Linked DNA regions of Saccharomyces cerevisiae S288C. Changing the gene in region 1 together with any one later gene gives a genetic interaction. Each region holds a gene or a part of one and is shown in the gene's direction. Other genes may lie near its edges. The genes, in order: GPP1, AZF1 and PRP21.

What was found.
Region 2: mutations in GPP1 (region 1) and AZF1 together harm fitness more than expected from each alone (negative genetic interaction), as found in Saccharomyces cerevisiae (2 studies listed by BioGRID).
Region 3: mutations in GPP1 (region 1) and PRP21 together harm fitness more than expected from each alone (negative genetic interaction), as found in Saccharomyces cerevisiae (2 studies listed by BioGRID).

What each region holds. Positions count from the first base shown.
Region 1 is NC_001141.2:250,251-261,185, forward strand, and holds GPP1 (glycerol-1-phosphatase GPP1), read left to right. Parts: upstream 1-4,864; coding exon 4,865-5,617; downstream 5,618-10,935. Other genes in the region: VHR1 (Vhr1p), read left to right, coding at 1-1,663; YIL055C (uncharacterized protein), read right to left, coding at 1,792-3,675; YIL054W (uncharacterized protein), read left to right, coding at 4,293-4,610; 60S ribosomal protein eL34 RPL34B, read right to left, coding at 5,976-6,304, 6,777-6,813; isoleucine biosynthesis protein MMF1, read right to left, coding at 7,593-8,030; PCL7 (Pcl7p), read left to right, coding at 8,663-9,520; DFG10 (putative polyprenol reductase), read left to right, coding at 9,908-10,669. UniProt on the Saccharomyces cerevisiae protein: Major isoform of glycerol-1-phosphate phosphohydrolase involved in glycerol biosynthesis. Plays a role in osmoadaptation and required for adaptation to anaerobic conditions.
Region 2 is NC_001147.6:530,716-535,983, forward strand, and holds the start of AZF1 (Azf1p), read left to right. Parts: upstream 1-3,359; coding exon 3,360-5,268. Other genes in the region: YOR111W (nucleotide diphosphatase), read left to right, coding at 1-412; COPI-interacting protein CEX1, read left to right, coding at 793-3,078. UniProt on the Saccharomyces cerevisiae protein: Transcription factor involved in the diauxic shift. In the presence of glucose, activates carbon and energy metabolism genes, and in te presence of glycerol-lactate, activates genes needed for cell wall maintenance.
Region 3 is NC_001142.9:48,496-59,499, forward strand, and holds PRP21 (Prp21p), read left to right. Parts: upstream 1-4,845; coding exon 4,846-5,688; downstream 5,689-11,004. Other genes in the region: YJL206C (uncharacterized protein), read right to left, coding at 1-1,440; NCE101 (Nce101p), read right to left, coding at 1,644-1,773, 1,917-1,948; RCY1 (Rcy1p), read right to left, coding at 2,134-4,656; ECM25 (Ecm25p), read left to right, coding at 5,884-7,683; aconitate hydratase ACO2, read right to left, coding at 7,949-10,318. UniProt on the Saccharomyces cerevisiae protein: mRNA splicing factors, PRP9, PRP11, and PRP21, are necessary for binding of the U2 snRNP to the pre-mRNA in an early step of spliceosome assembly.

The sequences.
Region 1 (10,935 bases):
GTTAGTCACTGCTGCTGTGCAATCAGTGAGAAGGAATAGAAAACGATCAAAAAAACGCTACGCTCTCAGCATAGCCAATGGCAGTGGCGGCAATGTCAACAACAGCATCTCGTCAAATTCTACTTCTGACGACGAGATCTCTCCGTCGATCTACCAGCGCTCCAATTCGGACTTCCTGCCTAGTTCTAATTATGCTGCAGATTTCCAGTTTTCAAACAAGTTCCAGCCTCTCATGAGTCACCAGAGTCATAACGGAACCATTTTTCCAACCGTGGGCACCCAAAATGACTCATCTCCATCGGTTACTTCGACCCAACAAAAGTATAACGATATAGTCACCATGCTAGTGCACGATCTTGTTACGAATGTCGTACCCCTATCAGAACAAGCTCTCAAGGACCCATATACTGGGCCAAACCTGTCACATTTTGCTACGTCTTCACTCAGCCAGCAACCTAACATTACCACAAACATCCCGATAGATTCTACCGTGCCATTTTTCCTGAGGGAAAAGTTACTCCTACAAATCCAAAGATCAAGAACTTGTCAGGACATTTCGCAGGCTGCAGGATCCATTGATATATACGCAAATCTGGAGATTTTGGGTGAAATGTCAATCCGAATGTCTATTGCATTCGTTATCGAACGATTTTTCTCCAACTTGGTCTCTTCTTCAATGAAGTATATCACTGCCAAGACGTGCTCTCCTGAAAATCTGGCTTTGTTGTCTCAAAGACTGTTCGGTGCCGCTACAAGACATAACTTATCTCATTTCCCCGCGGCTCAGGTACAACTAAGGCTACTGTATTTGGTCATAGGTGGTATTGTCAAGGATTTTGGCTTCGACCCCACGCTTTACCCTTTAAGTGAAATCATACATCATATTGTGATGGTTCAGTATCCTTTGGCTAGTTCCTGTGCGTCAGAACCACCATCATCTTCACCTAACAAGAGGGTTAAGAGAAGCCCTCCTGTCGTTTCAAGTGACGTTATGTTGAATAATAATAACACTCTATCGAATAGAGCTACACTTTTAACTACGCTACCAATGAAGCCTCAATCGGCCAATAAAGATGTTAATCGCAGAGTGATCATTAGATTTAATGATCGCGAGCAAGCCTTTACTTTCCACCAGTTGAGCAATGGACCACCCACGGTGTCTGAAGTTTTGGAAAACTGTAAAAATTTATTTAATATTATCAACAAGAACAAGAATTTTGGTATTTTCCATAACGATAACCTCTTGAACGATGAAAGTTTGGCAAAGTTATTTGATTCCTTTTCCACGAGCGAGATTCATCTCGTAATTAAGGACATTTCCACCATTCCACTACAAGATGCAAAAATACCAGTGCCCATTACGTTGCCCAAAATGTCATGCATAGGTGAAAACCCCTCTATGCCTTCTATTCCATTGGTACCACAAGAAAAAGATGATCCAAAAAAATCAAGCTTAACTGCCTTTGATAACATCCTTAATAGGATCTCTAAATCGCCAATGAATGAAGAAAATAGCAACACTACTTTAAACACTGGCACCTCCACCTCCAACACAAATAATAATGACCACAACGAGTCTGTGCCAGCGCCATACGTTACAAAGAACAAAAATTCTTTTCAAAATGGCAATTTACCACAGCCGGTTTTCCAGCCTTTACTTTGATAAAAATACAAAACAAAATTGTCTACATACATAACTGCCTAATACACATTCTACACAATATTTTTTTCTTTTTCAATTCGCGTACATATTTATGTAAGATAAAATAATAATATCCTCTTAATCCATGCTTAGAACTGCTGCCGTTGATTTTCAAATTCATCCTCGTCAAATGGTGGCAGTTCCATTACATGAATTTTGTACCCCAGTGAATATTCCTGGTCTTGTAAGGATTCGAACGTCAAATCAGACAGCTCTTTATCGTGGAACCCAACAATGGCATTATACACAATTGTGCTAACTTTAAAGTATTTCGCCTTGCTATCACCTTCGGAGTCAGAGACGTTTCCACTTTGTGCAAAAGTAGTTGGCAAATTTCTATTAAACTCCTCTAATTCATCTTCCGGTAATTCAAACCTCAGTAGAGTTGCTTCTTCATGATCTTCATAAACCCCTACATAGAATTCCCTTGTATTATTGATAGATGTTCGAGGTCCGCCATTTGTGTATGTGCTATTATTTGCACTCCCGTTGGTGTTCTCATTTTCTGATATCTTTAGAGCGTCCATAGATTCATTGAGTAAAGATGCTTCGTTTTGTTGCTGTAGAAACTGTCTTTCCTGTAGTCTTAATAGCTTGGGGCATTTCAGTTTTATAAAATCTTTTAGAACTGTCCATCTTAGCCTTCCAAATTTTTCCAATTGTCCTTTCTCTTTAATTTCAATAACTGTGAACTTCTCTTGGTTCATTAACTCATTGAAATCAGACTCTGATAATTTCTCCAAGAATTCTATAGGTATATAGGGTGGGAAATTTATGATCTTCAGCTGCCACATACCTCTATTCGTCATTTGTTTTCTAAAGCTTTTCTCGTTAAAGATATGCTTTAATCTTTTGTGATTTATTTGAGTTTGTGAAGGTGTAATTGTTCCACCATTCTTTGCTTGGAGGGCACGGTCATCACCATTCGTACTTGTAGTGGGAATATTACCATTATTATTGGAATTTGAGGCCATGTTCAAGTTGTAAAGGGCAGATATTTCGTTATAAGAGGGATTTATCTTATTGTTCCTTAAGGAGAGGTGATGCTGCTGAGAAAGACGAGGGCCTGTGCCAGTATCTGGATTCCTGGGGCTATTATGCATGTATTTTTGAAACTGGCTTTGGTTCTGGTGATAGAAATGCCGACGACGGGGATAGTGTGTAGGGGAAGCAAGTGGACCACCAGCAGTAGCAGCAGCTGTTGGTGAAGGTAGAGTAGTTTGATAGGGCATCTGCATATTAGGTACCGTTCCCGGAGGAGCACCCAACATAGGTAGCATCGAAGTCGAAAATGGACCATGAGGCGGGGGAGCAAGAGGTGGCACACCAACAGGTACGGGAACAGGCGTGGGCAATGGCGTTATGTTCTCATTCTTTCGAAGGCTCACTTCAGGAGAAAAACTGAAAAATTGAGAAGGTGGGGTAGAAGCGGATGGTGGCTGCGGTGTCACAGATGAAACATGGCTTGCATATCGAGGAGAAATAGATCTTTTAGTTTCATCGGGAGCACTCCGGACGTCATTGTTGCTATCACTGATTTCTGGATATCGCAGTGAAGGAGAATCATTAGTGTACGGCAACAGGTAAACGAACAGATCATGATAATCCCATTGGTAGGTGTTCAAAGTAAGTAGTAAGTTTTCCAGGGACTCGTTATCTATCGAGTTCTTCAGAATGACAATGCAACTCTGAAAAGTAATAAAAGGAGGAACCATGGAAGTCATTGGAGGCAGCATTTTCACCTGTAAAATATTGGTATGGTATATGATTCCGCCTATCAAATATTTTACCTGGGCCCAAGTCTTGCCCGGAGGGAGATTATCAATCCTTATGGGAATACCATTTGACTGCGAGTACGTCTTTTTCCTAGGAGCAGCTTTTGTGCTTGCTGTTGAGCTTTCGGTCGCAGAACGGGCAACAAAGGCACTGGCTGAAGCAGCCGACTTGGCACTATAGTGTGGTTCTAGAGTCATTATAAAGCAAGCGTATTGTAAGGAGAGACAGCAAACTCTCGTGTATCAGCCAACTGAACTGGAGGCCAAGACCAATCTAAAAAAAAAAAAAAATGAAAGAAACAAGTGTGGGAGGAAGTCTTGTTAACTTAACAGTTAAGCAAGCGTAAAAACCTTTAGGAAAGCGCACGAAAGAAGGCCAACATTACGACTATGGAATAATACAATGCACACAAACAAAAGGTAACATTTGAAAAATGGAGTAGAGAATATATTCCATTCCCCTAATTTTTTGCGGGTCTTCCAGGGCTGCGAACCCATCGCTCAAAACAAGCGCAGTGTCAATTAAGACATCATTGAACTAAAACGGAAAATTTGCTTGCGCCACACACCCTGGTCAATCGTACCAAGGGATATCACTCTGTACGGGTGGGAGGAAGGCGCGGCAATTAGAATGTGTGGGTGCGGAAGCTCGCCGCTCCCATCAAGAGAGTGGAAGACGTATGGTCTGGGTGCGAAGTACCACCACGTTTCTTTTTCATCTCTTAAGTGGGATTCTTACGAAACACGTCACAGGGTCAAAAGAAAGAGAACAAAAGCAATATTGTAATTGTCTCAGTCCACGGCAATGACATGGCATGGCCCCGAAGGCTTTTTTTGTCTGTCTTCCTTGGGTCTTACCCCGCCACGCGTTAATAGTGAGACAAGCAGGAAATCCGTATCATTTTCTCGCATACACGAACCCGCGTGCGCCTGGTAAATTGCAGGATTCTCATTGTCCGGTTTTCTTTATGGGAATAATCATCATCACCATTATCACTGTTACTCTTGCGATCATCATCATTAACATAATTTTTTTAACGCTGTTTGATGATGGTATGTGCTTTTATTGTTCCTTACTCACCTTTTCCTTTGTGTCTTTTAATTTTGACCATTTTGACCATTTTGACCTTTGATGATGTGTGAGTTCCTCTTTTCTTTTTTTCTTTTCTTTTTTCCTTTTTTTTTCTTTTCTTACTCTGTTAATCACTTTCTTTCCTTTTTGTTCATATTGTCGTCTTGTTCATTTTCGTTCAATTGATAATGTATATAAATCTTTCGTAAGTATCTCTTGATTGCCATTTTTTTCTTTCCAAGTTTCCTTGTTATGAAACGTTTCAATGTTTTAAAATATATCAGAACAACAAAAGCAAATATACAAACCATCGCAATGCCTTTGACCACAAAACCTTTATCTTTGAAAATCAACGCCGCTCTATTCGATGTTGACGGTACCATCATCATCTCTCAACCAGCCATTGCTGCTTTCTGGAGAGATTTCGGTAAAGACAAGCCTTACTTCGATGCCGAACACGTTATTCACATCTCTCACGGTTGGAGAACTTACGATGCCATTGCCAAGTTCGCTCCAGACTTTGCTGATGAAGAATACGTTAACAAGCTAGAAGGTGAAATCCCAGAAAAGTACGGTGAACACTCCATCGAAGTTCCAGGTGCTGTCAAGTTGTGTAATGCTTTGAACGCCTTGCCAAAGGAAAAATGGGCTGTCGCCACCTCTGGTACCCGTGACATGGCCAAGAAATGGTTCGACATTTTGAAGATCAAGAGACCAGAATACTTCATCACCGCCAATGATGTCAAGCAAGGTAAGCCTCACCCAGAACCATACTTAAAGGGTAGAAACGGTTTGGGTTTCCCAATTAATGAACAAGACCCATCCAAATCTAAGGTTGTTGTCTTTGAAGACGCACCAGCTGGTATTGCTGCTGGTAAGGCTGCTGGCTGTAAAATCGTTGGTATTGCTACCACTTTCGATTTGGACTTCTTGAAGGAAAAGGGTTGTGACATCATTGTCAAGAACCACGAATCTATCAGAGTCGGTGAATACAACGCTGAAACCGATGAAGTCGAATTGATCTTTGATGACTACTTATACGCTAAGGATGACTTGTTGAAATGGTAATTTTCTTTTATTTTTTTGATAAAACTACTACGCTAAAAATAAAATAAAAATGTATGATTTCCCTCCATTTCCGACCAATTGTATAATTTTATATCTGCATGACTTAATAATATAATATAATACTTATAAAATACGAATAGAAAAATTTAAACCGATGTAATGCATCCTTTTCTTTGTCGTCTTCGGATGATCTGCCGTGACAGGTGGTTCGCGCAAATCAAGCTGGTTTAGAGAATTTAACACAGAAATAAAAAAGGAAGATTCAATCTTCGTTTTTGTTTTATATCTTACTATAAAAGTGTTTTTTTTTAGTACGACGAGAAGTTAGAGTAATTATAAAAGGAATGCTTATTTAAATTTATTTCTTAGACTTCTTTTCAGACTTCTTAGCAGCCTCAGTTTGTTCCTTAACGACCTTCTTAACAATCTTTTGTTCTTCAATCAAGAAAGCTCTGACGATTCTTTCCTTGACACAGTTGGCACATCTGGAACCACCGTAAGCTCTGGAAACAGTCTTGTGGGTCTTGGAGACAGTAGCGTATTGTCTTGGTCTCAAAGTGGAAATACCTTGTAGAGCACTACCACAGTCACCACACTTTGGTCTAGTAGCCAACTTCTTAACGTGTTGGGCACGCAAGATACCACCTGGGGTCTTAACAACCTTGATTTTGTTAGAACGGGTGTTGTCTGTACGTAGTAAAGAGAAAATTTTCCCATTAATGTTAGTAATCACTTCTTTATTATCCTATGATTTAAGAACTTGAGTGGGATTGCTCCATATGAAAAGTATTTCGGCGTTGCTGAATGAATATTATCTCATTTCAATCTTTCAACAGCGGAGAAAAATTCATTTTCCATTTGGGTCGACCAAGGTCTTCCACTTAGAAACTGAAGTCAACTTATTGCTGTCCACATTACTGGATACTGTTCGTTCATGCTGTCTAATGTTTTAATGTCATGCCAATATATTTGAAAGTTCTTGCATAGTTGATTCCCCTATCGATGATCTGGTTCTTCCTATTTCTAAGTGGTACGCTTCTCTAAATAGCACTCGTTCGCCTTTTAACCTCATTTTCCCACAATGAAAGTTCAAAATAAGTTCATAATAAGTTCATAATAAGTTTTCATGAAAACTCAAAAAAATAGTTCAGTAACATACATGGATTTCTTCTTCTGAAAGTAACACGTTGAGCCATTTTTAGGGTTGTTCGTTGCTAATCTATTCTCAGTTTCAATCAAAGTAAATTGAATCAAAAGAATATAACAAGTGCCAAATACTATGTACTACCCGTTATTTACTACTTACAACTAATAAGTTCATCAACTTTTACGTAGAATGCTATTGAAACATTCCAAACTTACCCACCAGCTGCGATGAAACGGCTCCTGAGAGCCCGTTACCATACCGTCTGAACGGGTGCTGGGGCCACTGACAGGAAGAGGAAGAGTTAGAATTGTTACTGGCTCCTCCCCCAGGCGTCAATTCCATCTCCTCCCAGAAGGACGGTCTCTCTGCCCAAAGGAATGAACTTTCATGGGAAGGGACAAATGAAGCGGACTATTGTCGGAAGCGGGACCTCCGAAAGCAAATGAAAGTAAAAATTCAAAAATTCAAAAAAAAAAAAGCTGAAAGGAAAACACCCAAACAACACACGGTATGTGACGACATCTGTACACCGCAAAGTTGTGACGAAAACACAGTCACAGTTTTTTAGAATTTATGATTAGAGTGTTCAAGAAAATAAGTTCCAACACGTAATAGGTTTCTACCCCTGTCTTGTAACATTGATACAAGTAGAGGGAAACTCCCCTCACATTTTCTACAACGGCAAGAAACTGATTCTGAAACTCCGTAAATTCGTTTCTTTTCTTAGTTAAAATCTTATATACGCTAAAGAATGCTACTAAAATGTTTATAAATGTACACTCCTCGGTATCGCAAGTGGAAAAAAGGCAGTAAAGAAGTTTCAATCCTTCAATTCTTTTCAACAGCGATAACTTCCATTTCTAAATCAACATTCAAAGGTAAGGAAGCAACACCAACACAGGATCTTGCAGGCTTATGGGTGTGGAAGTGTTTGGCGTATACAGAGTTGAATTCGGCAAAGTTTTTCATGTCAGCCAAGAATACGTTGACTTTGACTATATTGTCTAAAGAAGAATTACTTTCTGCTAAGATATTCTTAACGTTTTGAAAAACTTGTTCGGCCTTCTCAGAGATAGAACCTTGAACAGGCTTGTTATCTGGAGTATAAGGGATTTGACCAGACACGTACACAAAATTGTTGGCCTTCATAGCTTGGGAGTAAGAGGCGGCAGCGGGTGGGGCCAACTTGGTGCTGACCGGGGTCAATGTTGTTATACCCCTCCTCAAGACTGGAGCTGTTCTCAAAACGGAATTTCTTAAAAACATTATTGGTAATATATTTGTGTGTATGTGTTGTCCTTTTTACCTGTAAATCTCACACAATTTACTAGCTAACCTAATTCTTATGCATGTGTAAGACCCATTTAGTCATATGTATTTATATATATCAGGGGATCCATACGGTGTGTTTTTCGCTGGATGAGCGACAGAGGCGGAATCGCATCTCCGCAAATGAGAGCGTACACAGGAGCAAAGTGAATAACGTCCTTCAATGATAGAGACTTATCCAATAAGCAGCACTGGTCTTCTAAGATCACCGCCTGTGCACTTTTCTACGGGCTCTTTTAATTGTATAACATGGACAGTGATCATTGCATTTTGCATCCATAGGCATACTATGGCTTAAGGTATTACTATCTATCGCGCCTAATCTCTGGGAGTTTTGAGGCCGGTTTCGGAATCTCGGTATCTTGCGATGGGTCCAAAACGGTGTAAACAAAGCAGGGGATAGCAGCGCAGGCTTCAACATCTCAAACCTTTATATATACAAAAAGTATATCTATATATTCATCTACGGTTCTTAAAATAGTACAACAAAAGTTAACAGACATTAATTACTGTAATCAGACTAAAGCAAACCGAGCTAGAACGAACGACTGCTTACACTAGAGAAAAATATGGAGCTAAGTTCACCATCAAAAAAAACCACAACATCGCCAATAAATATACCAGGGGGGAATAGAGATAACCTAATAATCGGACCACATTCTCACAGCTTCAAGACCGATCCATTTTCAAGTAACAATAGTAGTTTGCTGTCCAAAATATCTACTAACCCCAGTTTGGAAAGCCCTTTCTCTTCGAAATCTTTACTAGATTGTTCTCCTGTACAAGCTGTAAAGAAGTCTTTAGAGTCGGAAGCAAAAACGCATAGCCTGGACGAGGAGACAAATGAACAGACTGATGTAAAGATCTTAAACATAGCAGACTTTCCCACAGATGAACTCATACTAATGATAAGTGCGCTACTCAACAGAATTATAACAGCAAACGATGAAACTACAGATGTCTCACAACAAGTGTCGGATGAGACCGAAGACGAACTCTTAACTCCAATCCTTGCTTTCTATGGAAAGAATGTTCCAGAGATAGCTGTTGTTCAGTACTTAGAGAGAATTCAAAAGTACTGTCCCACCACAAATGATATTTTTCTTTCTCTCCTTGTATATTTCGATAGAATCTCCAAAAATTATGGGCATTCTTCTGAGCGTAATGGTTGCGCAAAGCAATTATTCGTCATGGACTCCGGGAACATTCATAGATTGCTCATAACAGGTGTCACAATTTGCACGAAGTTCTTGAGTGATTTTTTTTACAGTAACTCTCGATACGCCAAGGTTGGAGGTATTTCTTTGCAAGAGTTAAACCATTTAGAATTACAATTCCTGATACTATGTGATTTCAAGTTATTGGTTTCAGTCGAAGAAATGCAGAAATATGCAAACTTGTTATATAAATTCTGGAACGACCAGTAGAATGCTGTCCTGCATATTATTCATGCCCTTCCCTTACCGTTACTCGTATTATACATATCAATTTCTGATTTACGTAACGCGTACATATCGGTTATATTTAAATAATTTAATATTCCTTTTAAATCAGTGGTTTTTCATATTAGTAGCATTTCTCCTGAAATGATAGCTATTGCAATAGAATGAAAAAAAAAACTTTTTGCCCAAATAAATCATAATCTACCGGTAAAGAGAAATTCGGTCCTTGTTCTATTCAGTATTATGCTTTCTCTTTTTTTTCCAAAATGAGAATTAAGGACGTTTCGAAAAAGTAAAAATATACCAAATGTGGAATATAAATAGGTTTATCGGCGGACCGATCTGGCTTAAAACGTAGAATCTACCAGTCCAATGTACTTTGATGAAGAACAATTGCTAAAATATACTATATATGCCTATAGATTATCCTTTTTTGTAGGCATTTGCTCACTTTTCATAGCAAAAAGTTGTCTACCAGAATTTCTTCAATATGGTAAAACCTACCGGCCCAAAGAGAATTCAAAGTACTCAAGCATTTTAGAACGAATCAAGAAGTTCACAGTTCCAAAGGCGTATTTTTCCCATTTTTACTATTTGGCTACCTTTCTATCCTTAGTCACCTTATATTTCTATCCTAAATTCCCCATCGTTTGGATCATATTTGGACACTCATTGCGCCGACTTTATGAAACGCTTTATGTACTACATTATACAAGCAATTCTAGGATGAATTGGTCCCATTATCTAGTCGGTATATGGTTCTATTCCGTACTCTTGTTAATTCTTAATATATCACTGTACAAGAACTCCATTCCAAATACGTTAAACATGAATGCTTTCATCATATTCTGCATAGCATCTTGGGATCAGTACAAAAATCATGTTATTCTGGCCAATCTGGTTAAATATTCGCTGCCAACAGGAAGGCTTTTCAGGTTGGTATGCTGTCCTCATTATCTCGATGAAATAATCATTTATTCTACTCTGTTGCCCTATGAACAAGAATTTTACCTAACACTAGTTTGGGTAATCACAAGTTTGACTATATCCGCATTGGAAACAAAAAATTATTACAGGCACAAATTTAAAGACAATCACGTAGCCCCCTACGCCATAATACCTTTTATAATCTAGTAATGTGCACACTAGGGCATTCATATACATATATATATAGACGCGGTAAAGAACCACTTTACTTTCACTATTATCACTTTACCACTAATTAGACAGCAAAGGCTCGTATACGTGTCATTAAAAACGAAGGTAAGGCCATACCTTTTTGAGGCAGTTGGAAAGAGTAAATACTGGCACAGTGGCTAAGACCTATCACTGCCAAACAAAAGGTTAGACATCTTGGGAATTTCGGACACATTCGTTACTTAAAACGAGGACCAAAATTA
Region 2 (5,268 bases), on another chromosome or scaffold:
TAAGCTTATCATATGTGCAGACACAATTATTATAGATAAGAGTGGGAGAATCTACGAGAAGCCTAAAACAAAAGAGGTCCAAAAGAAGTTTTTAATGAAGTTTTGCTATGAAGATGATGAACCAGTTAACGTTGTCACCGCTGTGACTTTAATTAAATGGTACGGCAGAGAAAACTTTGAATTGGTACCATTCCGAGATGAAACCAAGGTATACTTTGATAACAAAATACCTTTGAGAATATTGGAAGAATATGTAGAAAGCGGAGATGGGCTGGAGGTTGGCGGTGGATTTAAAATACAAGGGCAAGGTGCTATTCTAATTGAAAAAATTGAAGGTGATTACTATAACGTAGTTGGTTTACCGCTCAATAAAACGTTCAAAGGACTCTATGCTGAGGCTAATTCCATATAACCTTCGTTTAGGTTTTCTTTGGTGTTGCTCAGTTAACTATGTTAATCTTTGCAACACCAGAAGAATGAGTGGAACGGATATTAAAGGCCACATTGGTGAATAGATACATGCGCTAAATAACACGGCTATTAACATTCTACGAGACAGTTTTTCGATTGATGGTAAAGAAAGTTTAAAGCAATACGCATTTTGAATTTCACGCTTTCGCGCACATCTTCTATTTTTTTCACCTTCAAAAAGGCCCTTTCTCTTTGTCTGTTTATATTATGATTATATTAAATATAAGTATCTTAAAAACAATAATATCGTCAAGTTATTTAGTCGAGAGTTTGACACTGTTACTATCGTTGCTTTTATTGGTGAACAAGTATCTGTAAGTGATGAATTTTTCCAGCATTTTCAAATCTATTTCGAATTTCCAGTTCCCATACACCATAGAGGAAACTGCAATCACTGAAACCGCCCTTTGGCAATGTTTCGATGGTACAAGGAAGGCAGATTCCTTGCCAGTAACAGTTTTTAAGGCAAAAAGATCTCCAGAAAATGAATCTTTAATTTTAAATGCTGTACACAAGAGCAAAATTTTGAAGATTCCAGGACTTTGTACGGTGCTGGAGACATTTGATTCCGACCCCCAATCCACATTTATTGTTACCGAACGAGTAGTTCCATTTCCTTGGGATAATCTAGGCTCTTTATCTCAAAACAAATTTGGTGTTGAATTAGGAATATCACAATTATTGGCAACTTTAGGATTTTTAAAAAACTTTGTCCTTGGTACGCTTTCTAAAGATTCTGTTTTTATCAATATTAAGGGAGAGTGGGTACTATTTGGGCTAGAACTTTGTTCAAGCAAAGAAGGATTAAGTGCGTTTGAATTTGCCAGTAGAGCGAGGTCATATTACAACATAATTGGCTCACAGTTGCCCTGTGAAGATCCGAATACAATTGATTCAATGGGGTTAGGATTGTTGATAAAGAGCCTTATGGCTCCTTCTTGTCTGCCCAAAGATTGGATTGTCAATGTAAATATGATTTCAGATGGAAAGATAACAATCGAAAACTTCAGAAAAAGGCTAGAAAATACAGAAACTTGGCGTTCTAATCCTTTGATAAACTTTTATCAAGAATTGAGGGAGTTGCATATAAAGGACCCACAGGGAAAATTGGTTGTGATGTCAAACTTGGAAAATTTGTATTTAGAGTCAAGAGAGATTTTCCGTAATTTAACGCCTGGAATGATAGAAAATTTTATTATTCCAGAGCTTTGTGAAATTATAAAATTATTAATGACACAAAGCATCAGTAGTGCTGCCAGCCCTATAGGCATGAACTTCAACGCATCACATAAACTAGTACCATTCTTAGCGATTGTTTTAGACCTAACTTCTGAAACGAACACCTTTCCAGTTGGTTTCAACGACCTTATCACCCAAAGTTTTAAACTGCCAGATAGGCAAGTAAGATTTCTTTTACTAATATACCTACCCAAATTAATAGGTCCATTGAGCAAATCAGAGATCTCCAGTAGGATATATCCACATTTTATCCAAGGTCTGACCGACTCTGATGCCACTCTTAGATTACAAACACTGAAGACAATTCCATGCATTGTGTCATGTTTAACAGAGAGACAACTGAATAATGAGCTACTGAGGTTTCTCGCAAAAACACAGGTTGATTCTGACGTTGAAATCCGAACATGGACAGTCATCATAATAAGTAAAATCTCAACCATATTATCAACGTCAGTTGGTAATCGCTCGAATATTTTAGCTACGGCGTTCACAAAATCTTTGAAAGATCCTCAAGTAAAACCAAGATTGGCTGCTCTTTATGGGCTTGAGAAGTCGATTGAGCTGTTTGATGTGAACACAATCGCCAACAAAATTTTAACAGTCATTGCCCCTGGTTTATTAGATAAAAGTCCCATAGTAAGAGGCAGAGCCAAAATCCTGTTCGAAGAATATCTGGAAAAATTGGAAAAAGAAGCCCAACTTATTCAAACAAACGATAGTACTGCAGATTCGGAAGATGTGAAAGATATTGATTTTGAGAATTACGGTTGTGATGAAGAGGATATGAATAAAGAAGACAATTTGTTAGCCGCACAATTTTTAAATAATTTACGTTTAAATTCTCCCTCAGCAACAACACCAAGTAACATTACCGAGAGCGAAATTGATTCCGCCCAGGATGGAAGTGGATGGGACGACCTCAGCGATACCGATGGCTTTATTACAAATGGTACCACAGAATCCTTCGATGAAACAACAAACCCTGTAACAACCGCAAGCACCCCAAAATTATTCGGAAAACCTATTAAAATTAATAAAAGTTGGAATGATGAGTTGAATGATGATGGCTGGATTCAAGATGAAAGCGGCCCATCAAAGGTGCCTCAAAAACACACAAGGCCACAAAATTCAACGTTGGCAAAATCCATCGCTCCTAGCTCAAGGCTTTCTATCAAGAAGAAGAAAACAACGATCCTAGCACCAAGAAACATTGCTAGTAACTCTACTGTTACCACCAAATCGTCACTGTCCAATAAAACTGCAAGAAGTAAGCCTATAAGTAGTATCCGCGGCTCGGTAACCAAGAAAGGAAATGTTGACGGCTGGGATGATGATGGGGATTCAGACTCCTGGGATACGAATTGGTGATCCCAAGACTTATATAGCCCTACGTATTGTAGAAGGATATATTCAGTGTTAATCGTTATTTAGAAACATTACGCCCGTGCCCCGCGATTTCGCTTCTTTGAGAAGTGGAGGAAAAGAAGGGTCCCTTTAATTCCAGTAGAAATGAAGCATAAGCAAGAAGAGTCATCAGAAAAGGGAACCTTGTAGTACTATAGATGGTCCCACAGAGAAATTAATTGGGACAAAAACAGCTACACAAGCGATATACTTCAAAAGATTCAGATATTGAAAAATTACCAGCCATGCCTCCTCCAACTGCACAGTTCATGGGCCCTACGCAGGCGGGACAAAATGAAAGCCAAAATCAATCATCAGGCGAAGCTGGGGAGCAAAACCAGGAGCATGGGCAAGGCCCTACTCCTATTCTTAATCAAAGTCAACCGGCTTCTTCTCAACCGCAACATCAACAACAAAGGAATGAGTCGATTTCATATTATACAAATTTCAACCAGCCACGATATTCCACGGACGCCTCTATCAACTCATTCTTGAACATATCTGATAACGTACCAGTAACAAGTACAGGAGGACCTAGTTCTGGCGGCGCCTATTCCAATCTTCCACGATTATCCACTTCAAGTACACATCAACCGCCAGACCTGTCGCAAATCGGACGCGGCTTTTCCATTGTAAACAACCTCTTCCCACAACAACAGCAGCTTCAAAATCAGCATCGGCAACAGCAGCAACAACAACAACAGCAGTCGCACCAGCAGCCTCCCTTCAAGACCCCTTCATTTTCGACGGGATTAACGGGAAGTTCTTCTCAATATCAATTTTTACCAAGAAATGATAATACTTCGCAGCCACCTTCAAAAAGAAACTCTGTTTATCTTGGACCTAATGATGGGCCTGATTTTGAATTTTTCAGTATGCAGCAGTCACAGCAACCGCAGTTCCAGCCTAGCAGTAGAAGAGAATCAAACTCTATGAGACCTCCACTGTTAATACCTGCAGCAACTACTAAAAGCCAGTCCAATGGCACCAATAATAGTGGGAATATGAACACAAATGCAGATTATGAATCATTTTTTAATACTGGTACAAACAACAGTAATTCTAATCAGAACCCGTACTTTTTGAGTTCAAGAAATAATTCTTTGAAGTTTAATCCTGAAGATTTCGATTTTCAATTCAAAAGGCGGAATTCTTTTGTTAGAGGTACTTTGGACCATAGCAGCCAAAATGCGTTTATACCTGAATCAAGATTAAACTCACTATCCGTTAACAACAAAGCTAATGGTGATCCTGTCGCGGATAATGTTACCAATAACATGAAAGGAAAAAGTAATGAAGTTGACAATGATGATGGCAATGACAGTAGCAATAACAATAACAACAACAACAACAACAACAACAATGAAAACAACAATGACAACAATAATGATAATAACGACAATAGTATTAATTCCGCCACCAGTACTAATATCCCAAACCAAGAGGACCATAGCCTTGCTTCTACCGATACCACAAGCAATAGTAGGAAAGATCTAAAAGAAATAGAACAAAGACTTCGAAAACATTTGAATGATGAGGATAATTACTCTAGTGCTATATCAAGACCATTGGATAAAAACGACGTAATTGAAGGCAGTGAGGGATTGAACAAACATATAGACGAGTCTGGTATGCAACCTAATATTATCAAGAAAAGGAAAAAGGATGATTCTACTGTGTACGTCAAGAATGAGATGCCCCGTACTGATCCCCCGATGAGTAAAGACAATTCTACTTCTGCTGAAGGAGCAGCAATGGCAAACTTTTCTGGTAAAGAACCTCCTATACCTGACATAAGTTCAGTAAGTGATGATGCTACTAACCTGATAGGTGCAACAAAGGTCGACCAACTAATGTTGATTATTCAAGCAAGAAAGAAAGGTTTCACGGAGAAAGTAAATACCACTCAAGATGGAGACTTACTGTTTAACCAAACGATGGACATTTTACCACCTAAAAGCGAACTAGTAGGTGGTGTGGAGAAACCAAAAGGCACACAAAATACACGAGCAGTTAAAAAACATGAATGTCCCTATTGTCATCGGCTTTTTTCGCAAGCGACTCATCTGGAGGTTCACGTTCGTTCTCATATAGGGTACAAACCATTCGTTTGTGATTATTGTGGCAAACGTTTTACTCAGGGTGGGAACTTAA
Region 3 (11,004 bases), on another chromosome or scaffold:
TTTAGTGTATGGAGAACTAGTATCATTTGCGGAAACAGTTAGAGGTGGTTGCGTTTGACGATACCGTATTGTGTCAACCTTCAAAATATCTGGTAATTGGGCATACCAATTATCTAATTGATCGTTCAACGATACAATCTGCGTCCTAGAATCCTCTTCTAATGGTTTTCTTCTCAAAGAGTACATTAGCTTGTAGATCCGAGACATGATTAAAATAAGCTTTGTATGCTTATTATTCATTCCACAGGAACTTATCGTTCGCCAATCTTGAAACTTTATTCCAATAGTAGATATATTTTCATCGTCGACGTCTAGAGGAAACTCTTGGTCGATATCAGATTCGTCGATACCGCTTGGAAAACCAAGAATACAATTCATGTACAGATCTAGTTTGTACACAGACCAAAAGAGCCTTTTTTTTGTCTCATCCTGAATCGGAGTAGGACCAACTATGGAAGACCGCCTGTGTAAACCTTCCTTTAACGCAGCACGCAGAGCGATACCAATGAACGAATAGCAAGCCTTCAAGTTTGCTGAACATTGCAAAAAGATCGTCATCATAAATATAGCTTGAATGGAATAGATGTCAGTAATATTAGAAAAGTCCAAAGAGTTTTTGGCCTCTAAAAAGTATCTGTAGCCTTCATCAGTGTAAAATTCCCTAGTTGCTTTACTATCCTTGCTGAGATCTTCCTTAGAAAAAAGGGCTCCGACTGCTAAAACAGAATAAATTAAAGGTTGTGTTTTCACTTGTTCTGGAGTATATTGCTTGCCATGTTTTTCTGCTTCGTATATCGAGTCCAAGATAGAAATGATAGTAGGTCTGTGATAGAACCTAAATAGCACACAGGCACAATCCCAGGTCTTTTGAATAAATTTCAAGGCAATCTCTCTGGGTGGTAATGGAACACTTGTTTGCATGTGCCAAGGCGTATCTTTTGGTAGACTTTGACGTATTACCTGATTAACATTTAATTGTCCTTGAAGTAGACACGTTTTAATAGTGTCCAAAAAATTCTGGCTGTTAAAAGAAGAAGAAGCAAGTATTTGACGGAGTGTTTCAGGTGGAAAGATCGTCTCTACAACCTTTTTGTAATCAATGGAACTTATAGGGCCCTTGCTATCTTCCCGTTCGTGGGAAGCTCTCTGTGCATATAAGGAACTATCATCGCTTACTTCCCTATCAAATACCGATGAGTTCCGTGGGGGGCGATCATATTTGCATTCGTAACTATTAGTCTGGCAAAGTCTACATGGTATATTACCACTACATCGTACTTTCCTCTTTCTGCAAGCTATGCAAGCTCGATGTGCTCTTCCTTTCGTTGGCTTCAATTCGTTGGTGCCCGCATCTCTAGATAAAACCAAAATCTTAGATCTCTTGCCTTTCAACTTCTTCATTGCACACGAAATAGGCTTTCCAGATTCTTTCGGCGTCATCTATTGAATAATTCTTTGGTCTAAGTTGTATGTATTACTCTTTAAATTGAGACAATCAAGGAAATCACACATATAAAAATACTGTGGATCTGAAAGATTGGGTTTTTATAGGATAAATGCGTATAAAGGTAGATCCTAGGATTAATTATTATGGTATTTACATATCGCCAGAAACTTATATATACTCCCCTCACGCCGGATTATTATTTGCGATCGTCCCATCGCTTCTTTATGAGCTCGTGTAAATGATGACCTTGTGGACGCCCCATTTTCCTTTCGTACACATAGTAGCTGAGACAGCCTACCATAATTGCCAATAACGGATCAGAAAATCTGCAATAGAGACCAGCTTGGGAAAGAGCACATCGACTTGTTTGATGTTGCCTCTTCGAAACAGCAAATGGTTAACTATGCGTTAGTAAAAGAATAAGTGTGAAAAAAAAAAAAATAGAATAGCGTATGAAGAATGAACATACTTTCCTAATAGAAAGGGAGCGTACTGAACCATGTTATCGATGATCTTGTGTGGAATCCTCTTATAAATGGAGTGAACATTTGTATGCCCCTTGTGTGCGTGTGGCTAACAGGGAAAAATAGAGCCCGCGTAATCTTGAATAATCTAATATGTGAACAGTCTTTTATTTCCGCACTTCATACCTATATAGAGTAATATAATTAATCATTGATAGGAATTTACATAATGCAGCAATCTCGTATGCCTAGGCCGTACATTACCTTTTCAACGTCTTTCCGTACACGAACCCAATCGCTTCTCCTCTGAACAAATTCATAAATTTCCTCTTGCGTAAAAATGCCATTGAATTTCCCAAGATCAGAAATAAGCTTTCCCAACTCTTTCGAGTCCTTGCCTGAAATGATGTATAACTGGCCAATAGACTTAAGCCCAACAAAATAGGGAACAACATTTTTTTGTTTTAATTTGTTAGCAATAAAATCGTAAAAGTAATTTAAATCGCAGATTAACCAAATTGCGCCCTCCGTAGATATGAAGCACTTCTTCAGATGTTTGACGATTTCATTAAAGAATCTCTCGCCAATTTCTTGTTGGTACACGTCAATAGTACCCTTGTCTGTGGCACCAGTCAGTAGAAAGCAATGATTAGAAAGTAACTCGACTACCCTGATAGCACATTTGGTTGGCTTTATATCCCTTATTGGAGAATTCCTAGAGGGTGGCGGTGGATTATAATCGTCAGGCAATTGAAGAGTCTTGAATACAAATGAGATTTCATCCATTAGTTTGTTTATACCGATATTTAAACCTTCGGCTACAAAATCATCGATAGAAGTCTCAAAATTTTTTTTTAATTGGATAACATCATTAAGAAAATCTTTATTTTTATCGATAATTTTTTTGGGAATCAATTCGTTCTTGTAAAAAATGGAAATCATTTGTAATATTATGTCACCTATATTGATAAGTTCAGTGAATTGTACTAAAGGTTCGACTTGAGTATTGGCTGGCGAAAGTGAATTGAATTTTATTTCTATTTGTTCTATTTCGTTAGGATTATATTTTTGTAGTAGCAGGATTGCCTTTTCAAATGCAGGTTTAACGTGATTTTTATTCAATTGTGTAATTAAAATTTTGAAAATCTCTTGACAGCGTAGCTTGATCAATGGTAGCAAACTTTCAATCGTATGAAATTTGTAAATTTGATCCGTCTTTTCGCTTGTTTCCTGTAAAATTTTGTAACATAAATCGAGACTTATTAACGATTTAATGTTTTGCAAGTTATTGGAAATTAAATTTAAGTTGTAGGCTAGTTGTAGTTGTTGCTTTAGCCTTTGATTTTCATTGTTCGAGAACTTGAAAATCTTGGTGAAGGAACTTAGAAAGTCTAGTTTATCATTAGAAATATCAGTTGAATGAACTGATTGATGGATCGTACTTGGTTTTGAATCCGCTTCTGGGACAGTTTTGGAGGTTTCAGTAATTATTGAGAGGTCATTCGGCAATTCATTGTTACTTGCACTCGAAGCATCCGTTTGATCTTTTAAAGTGTTATAAATTTTTGCGTTTTGCTCACGCTGCTTGTCTTGAACTTGTGTGTCATAATTAGCTAATTGTGAGTTGATCAATGATTCAAATACTCTAGTTGTCTGATTCATATAGTTGACAACAAAGGGCTCGAGATACAGGTTTAAAAGGTCACGAACAACTTTACGGAAATTTGCGCCTGCGTTTACTGAGTCGTTTAATTCAGTATCAAACTTTTTTATAAATGTGAAATAAAGTTCGGGTACGCATTCATAATTGGCTTTACTATCCTTTCCATTTTCTTTTAAAAATTCACTATAGCTTAATAAGATATTGTTTAAAATATCTAATAAAATATCTTGGATAAAGGACTCGATGAACTGTAATATTACAGGGAACTCATCTTTGAATAAAATGTCCGCTAATTTAATCTTTTCGTTGAGGAAATCCCTTAGCTGATTGAGAAACGTATCTAAATTTTTAGAATTAAATATCACGGTACTCCCACCGCTGTCCTCTTCCCTTGGTTGTTCGGCCCAAAATAATTCATCATTAGACGGCAAAACCGTTAAACTGGGAGGCAAATCAGCCTTTGACTTGAAAAATTCGATAGCATTGCTTTCCTCATTAGATATCAATAAAATTTTCATGAAACGAGCGACGGCAGCTAAATTATTAGACTGGTAATTCAATTCTGACTCTTTGAGAACAGAATTAATGAAGATTTCCCTAAGAATGTTGAAATTAGTTTCAATCCTAGTAAATGTTTCTATATCATTTTTATTCGAGAAATTGTACTTTTTGATAAAATTTAGAATTCTTGTTTGTTTCAACGGATCGTTGGAATATGAAGTAGGAAAGAAATTTGCTAGATTATTATTATATAGCTTCCTAGCGTATGAGTTATAACAACGGTAAAATTTCACAAAGATTTTTTTAGAATTTTGAGCAGTGAAAGATTTGTATATTTCGAAGATGCGAAGGGAATTTTGATTATCATTTTCATCCAGCAACGTAATTTCTTCTTCTTCATTTGAATGCACCTGTTGGAGACCCATTCTAGTCAATTTCAATGACCAATACTTTGAATCATTTTTGCCGTTAATGATTGCATAAACCCGTTTATTCACTTGTTGAAAACTCAGATAATCTACAGTAGATAAATATGAGGCAATATTGGTTACAATCTCGGGAACTTTTAGCAGATCATCCATTTTACCGATTTCCTCAAAAGCTTTTGTTTTCTTTTGGTTTTTCTATTGTTTGTCTGTTGACCATTTTTTGATAAAATAAGAACCTTCCTTCAACGAAATATTTCGGCAAAAGTTAGCCTTGAAACACTTAAATACAGGAAGAAATAAGGTAAAGCGTAAAACTAACAGCAATAATTTGCAGTTGTATAAATGGAACCAGAAGATACCCAGCTGAAAGAGGACATTAAAACCACAGTAAATTACATAAAGCAGCATGGTGTTGAGTTTGAGAACAAACTGCTAGAAGATGAGAGATTCTCATTCATCAAGAAAGATGACCCACTCCATGAATACTACACCAAACTCATGAATGAGCCAACAGACACTGTCAGCGGTGAAGATAATGACAGAAAGAGTGAGCGAGAGATAGCAAGGCCGCCGGATTTTCTGTTCTCTCAATATGATACTGGAATATCCCGAAGAGACATGGAAGTAATCAAATTGACAGCACGCTACTATGCAAAGGATAAAAGTATTGTTGAACAGATGATTTCAAAGGATGGTGAAGCCAGATTAAACTTTATGAACAGCTCACATCCGCTACATAAGACATTCACTGATTTTGTCGCCCAGTACAAGCGAGTATATTCTTTTACTGGTCAAGAAATCAAGAAAAGTAAGAGAACCATTTTAGATAATTGTTTTGAGAGAACACAGTATTGGGAATTTGAGAAAGATAAAGACCGGGAACATGATAAGCTCGTAGAGTTGTGCAAAATACAATTTGCAGCCATTCCATGGGATAAATTTACTCAAGTGGCAAAATTTTCTATCCCTGAAGACACAGAAATCTTCGAAGGCTCTCTAGATTTAGAACAGATGAGGCTGCGAAGAGTACAAACTGGTATTAAGTTATTCGATAGTATCAAGCCGACAAATGAAGAAGAAAAGATAGTATCCGACCAAGGTAAGCAAAAAGGAGGAGATAGTAAGGGCAAAAAGCGTAAAATTAGAGCTGTGGGAGAGACAAGGTTAAAGAAAAGTAAAAAATAAGCCTCATGAAAATCAAAGTTAGCTAGAAGTATGTAAAGGTTGATGATGCACCGTAATTGAGCACATGTATCACTATTAACGGCGTACGTATTTTGGCGTTTTTTCATGTTGATGTTATTTTGTATATAGAAAGTGAAATTCTCGAGGATATGGCCCTACTGGATAATACTATTGGTAGCGTGAAAGAAGGCCAGGATGATAGATATCAACGTTAATAACATATTTTTTAGATCTTATTCAGTTGATCCTAACTCTGGTCACGCAATTTATGTCTTTGATTCGACTTATTTGCCAGCATCTGATGAAATTGGCGATAAGCAAGTTTATGACTTGCTTATTAATGCCCTCATGGATCGATTGGTAATGAAATTGCCACAGGCACCATATTCACTGGTGATTTTTTCATCTGGGTTTTCCCAGAGAAAAATAAGCTGGGTTTACGGTATTAAAATGTTTGCAAAGTTACCCAAAGAGACCAAGTTCTATTTACAAAAGATTTTTATTGTTCATGAGTCATTCTTCGTTAGGTCGGTCTATCAAGTAATTTCAAACGCTATGAACTTTAACTTCTTGGACTCAAAAGATAGTCAGCATGATTTTCCAAGTTTAGTTCATGTCTTGGACCTGACTTCTTTATCCGAGCTAATAGATATTACGCGACTTAGAATATCGTTGAACGTGTACTTATATGATTACCAGATACGCGAACATATAAATGTCCCGGAGGAATATTATAACAGATTGACCCCTCTGGCAATAAGACAGTATAGGCAGTTAGTATTCGATAAAATTTTCAAGAAATTACAGAATGACGCTCTGTTGTGTGAATTGATATTCCAGAAGCCGGGAAACTATAAAAAGGTAAACATTTTTTTGGATATTATCAAAAGAAACAACTACATTGATTTATCTCAATGGGATATTTATTCTTTGGCATCCGTGTGGTTGAATTACTTCATTAAGAATAAAGCCAAACCTCTAATCCCAATTGAATTAATTCCGTTACCAATTGTTGATGATCTAAAGTTCACAAGTGAAACATTCCGCAAAATTATTAAATTCAACCAATACCAGGACCTCTTTATGGTCATAATTCCTTTTTTTAATAGGATCATAGCGCATGGTGAATCGACTAAACATGATTCAAGGACCCTAAGTAAAGCTTTAACTCCGGCGTTATGTAAGGAAAAACTTTCCATGATGACTAATGATCGTTTAGCTATTGGGTCGAGATATATTAAAAATTTACTGGACTTTTTCCCCGAAATCGCGAAGGAAATATCATCACCTCCTTCATCCGTATCATCGTCTTCTACTATCCCTGTTTTGCCTAAGCCAAGGAAGTCGTCGCCAACCAGATACAGTGAACTAGGCTGCTTAACCCTTCCTAGAAGTCGAAGCCCTAGTCCACAAAGATCTGTTACGTCTCCAACGTACACACCTGTCGCATTACAAAATACACCAGTCTTGAAACCTAAGTCTTCAAGCAGAAATGTTTCATCCCCATCATTCAATGCCAAACCTCCACTTCCTATTAAGGCAGTTACACGACCACAACTGTCTCTAACTTCCAATTCTAATACAGATTTGGCATTAGCTTCTTCTTCTACAGATACATTATCCTCACCGACGAAGACTCCATCAGCAGACTCGCTTCCATTGAGTAACAGCAGCACCGATTTAACGATATCAGATAATATCAAAGAAATGGTTAAGGACGAGCCAGCAAAGGATAAAAATTCTGTGGAAACAGATATATTCGTACAACAGTTTGAAAGTTTAACCCTCGTCCAAAACGCGAAGATTAAGAAGTTCGACAAAGAACTACAAGAAAAGAAGAAGAAAAATGAAACTACTTCAAAGACAGCAGATAAATTCTCTCAAAAGGGATATTCAGATATTAAAGCAAGCAACAAGGTTAGCAGGCTAGCTGCATTGTACGAAGAACGTTTACAAGGTTTACAAGTAATGAATGAAATGAAACAAAGGTGGTAACTTACATAATTGTATCTTTTTAACACATACATATTGCATATACGACAACAAAATACCCCCCACCCTTGAGTTAAGCCGTAGTTGAAGCAGTCGAGATCTCGTGTATAATATTATATATCAAACAATATTACGTTTTTTATAGTAAATAAATAAATAAATAGGTAGGTTATTTGCACCGTCTATATGCAGAGTCTATAGAATTGTGTAAACTAGCTTATGACTATTAAATCGGACTCTTAATTTTTAGCTAATATCTCTTCAGAATTTATTCGTTTCTTCGTATATTACCAATATAATTGATTGCTGAACCAGCTTTGAAAAAATCGATTTGATCTTTAGACATAGTATGTTTTGCCTTGATGGTGAACGATTCACCGTTTGGTTTAGTAATTTTAACATCAATTTCACCACCGTTATTACCATCCTTAGCAATCATGTCAACTAGGTTCAACGTTTCTAAAACATCTCCGCTTGATATTTTATCATAGTCAGATTCGTTGGCAAAAGTCAATGGCAACACACCTTGTTTCTTCAAGTTTGTCTCATGAATTCTTGCAAAAGACTTAACTAAAAGAATCTCTCCGCCTAAAAATCTTGGTGACAAAGCAGCATGCTCTCTTGCGGAACCTTCACCATAGTTATGTTCCGCTATCACGGTCCATGGTCTACCGTCTGATTTCCATTTCATCATCAAACCAGGAATATCATATTCAGTTCCGTCAAGGTCATAAGCCTTGTTGACTTCACCGGTTTCTTTGTTTTGTGCACCAATCAATGTATTGTAAGAAATGTTTTCTAGATGGCCTTTATATTTCAACCAGACGCCCGCAGCGGAAATATGATCTGTTGTACATTTACCTTCAACTTTCAAAAGCACGTTTGTCTTCAATTCCTTCCCGTTCCAAGGTTTGAATGGCTCTAATAATTGCAAACGATCAGAATTAGGGTCTACCTTAATCTCTACATTGCTATCTGGCTTTGGATCCATTTCAGGATAAAATTTGTCTCTACCGTGTTCAAATCCTCTTTTTGGTAACTCATCACCCTTTGGTGGTTGGAATTTGAAATCCTTCCCATTTGGCAATTTAATTGAGTCAGTTAGCGGATTGAACTGAGCATCTCCAGAATAACTCATCGCTGTTACTATTTCTGGGGATGTTAAGAAATTCATTGTATTCCTATTACCATCGTTTCTAGCTCTGAAATTTCTATTGAATGATGTAAAAATAGTGTTCGTTTCTTTTGATGTTTTCGAGACATCTTCCCTATTCCATTGTCCGATACAAGGGCCGCATGCATTTGCTAAAACTTTGGCACCATTTTCTTGGAAAATATCGATGATTCCATCTCTTTCCAAGGTAGCTCTAATTTGTTCTGAACCAGGGGTGACAAAGAAGGGGATACGTGGTTTCAAGCCGGCTTTGGAAGCTTGCTTGACCAAGTCGACAACACGACTCATGTCTTGATAAGATGAATTGGTACATGATCCAATCAAACCAGCGCTAACTTTTTGGGGCCAGTTTTCCTTCAAACTTTTTTCGGCATATTGAGATATTGGGGTTGAAAGGTCTGGTGTAAATGGACCATTAACGTGAGGTTCAATTGCGGATAAGTCAATTTCAATAACTTTATCGTATTGAGCATCTTTGTCGGCTCTTAAGAAGTTAAACTTGTTTAAAGCAACATCAGCTGCTTCAGCGACCTCTGCTCTATTAGTTGCTTGCAAATAACGCTTGTGAGCTTCTTGGTAAGGGAAAGTTGACGTTGTAGCACCGATTTCAGCTCCCATATTACAGATGGTTGCCATACCTGTGCAAGATAGAGTGGATACACCTTCGCCGAAGTACTCGACGATATAACCAGTACCACCTCTGACAGTTAGTAAACCAGCGAGCTTTGTGATTACATCTTTAGGAGTGGACCATCCGTTTAACTTTCCGGTCAATTTAACACCTAAAATTTTTGGTGCTTTTAATTCCCATGGAGTGCCTGTGAGGGCATCAACTGCATCCGCACCACCAACCCCGATGGCAATAGCTCCCAGACCGCCTGCATTTGGTGTATGGGAATCAGTACCTAGCATCATTAGACCTGGAGCTGAGAAATTTTCCAAAACAATCTGGTGAATGATACCAGAACCTGGGCCCCAGAATTGAATTCCATATCTCTTTGCGCAACTCTCCAAGAAATCGAAAACTTCTTGGTTGGTAGCTATGGAAGAGGGTAAATCTTTAGTTTCACCGTCCTTACCTACAATTAAATGATCACAATGTATGGATGCTGGGACAGATGTTTGATTTAGACCGGTGGTCATGAATTGTAGAAGCGCCATTTGGGCAGAAGCGTCCTGCATAGCTACACGGTCTGGGTTTAGCTTCAAGTATTTATTACCACGGATGGTGGACAGATCAGAAGAAGTAATCGATTCTTCAGGATCGCAAAGATGCGAGTATAAAATTTTTTCTGCTAGTGTCAATGGAGCATTGTTTGTTATTTGTTTAATCTTGTCTAGGTTGGTCAAAAGTTTTGCATAAGGTGGCACTTTTGTTTGAAAATTTTTAGATACAGAGGGGAACATATTGGCATGTGTTGCCAAATGCCTCTTTATATAAAACCTATTAGCTGAAGATAGCATCGAATCTCTTGCTTATTGCTCTTAGAGTTTTATGTTTAAAGAAAGTCGAAAATTCTTATTTTTGCAAGTGCGCAAATCGAATAATACGAAAAGATGAAAATATTTTAGTTTATATACATGTTTGATGCCATACCATCTATTGACATAATCTACGATGTGAGAGCTGTATGATATTGTGGAACTTTGTATATATTGAAAAAATTTTCCAGTGGAATTTTACTCGCGATGACTCAAGAGCGTGAAAAAAAAAAAAAAAAAAAAATTAATTGCTAAAAAATCAAATATATGCTTCCAATCGGATTTGAACCGATGATCTCCACATTACTAGTGTGGCGCCTTACCAACTTGGCCATAGAAGCTTCTATTTTATATTTGCCTGACCTATTTTAACGGTTATATTCCACAAACATTTTAATCATGAAGCAATTTTTTTGATGTTGATGTGAGAGTAATAAGCACTGTGCTGAGAAGAGGATCAACAACATGATATTCTACGGAACGTAAAGGATACAATGTTATTGGACTAAGAATCGTCTATCATCTTAAGAAATGGGTGGATGATCGGACAATTATTGAGAAGGTTTCATTGTGGAGAACAAATCGCAATATTGTGCAATCCTTTAGATATGTCAAGATAAAATACTAGGGAGGCTTCGCCCATTCATTAAAGAGTATAGCTACCGCAT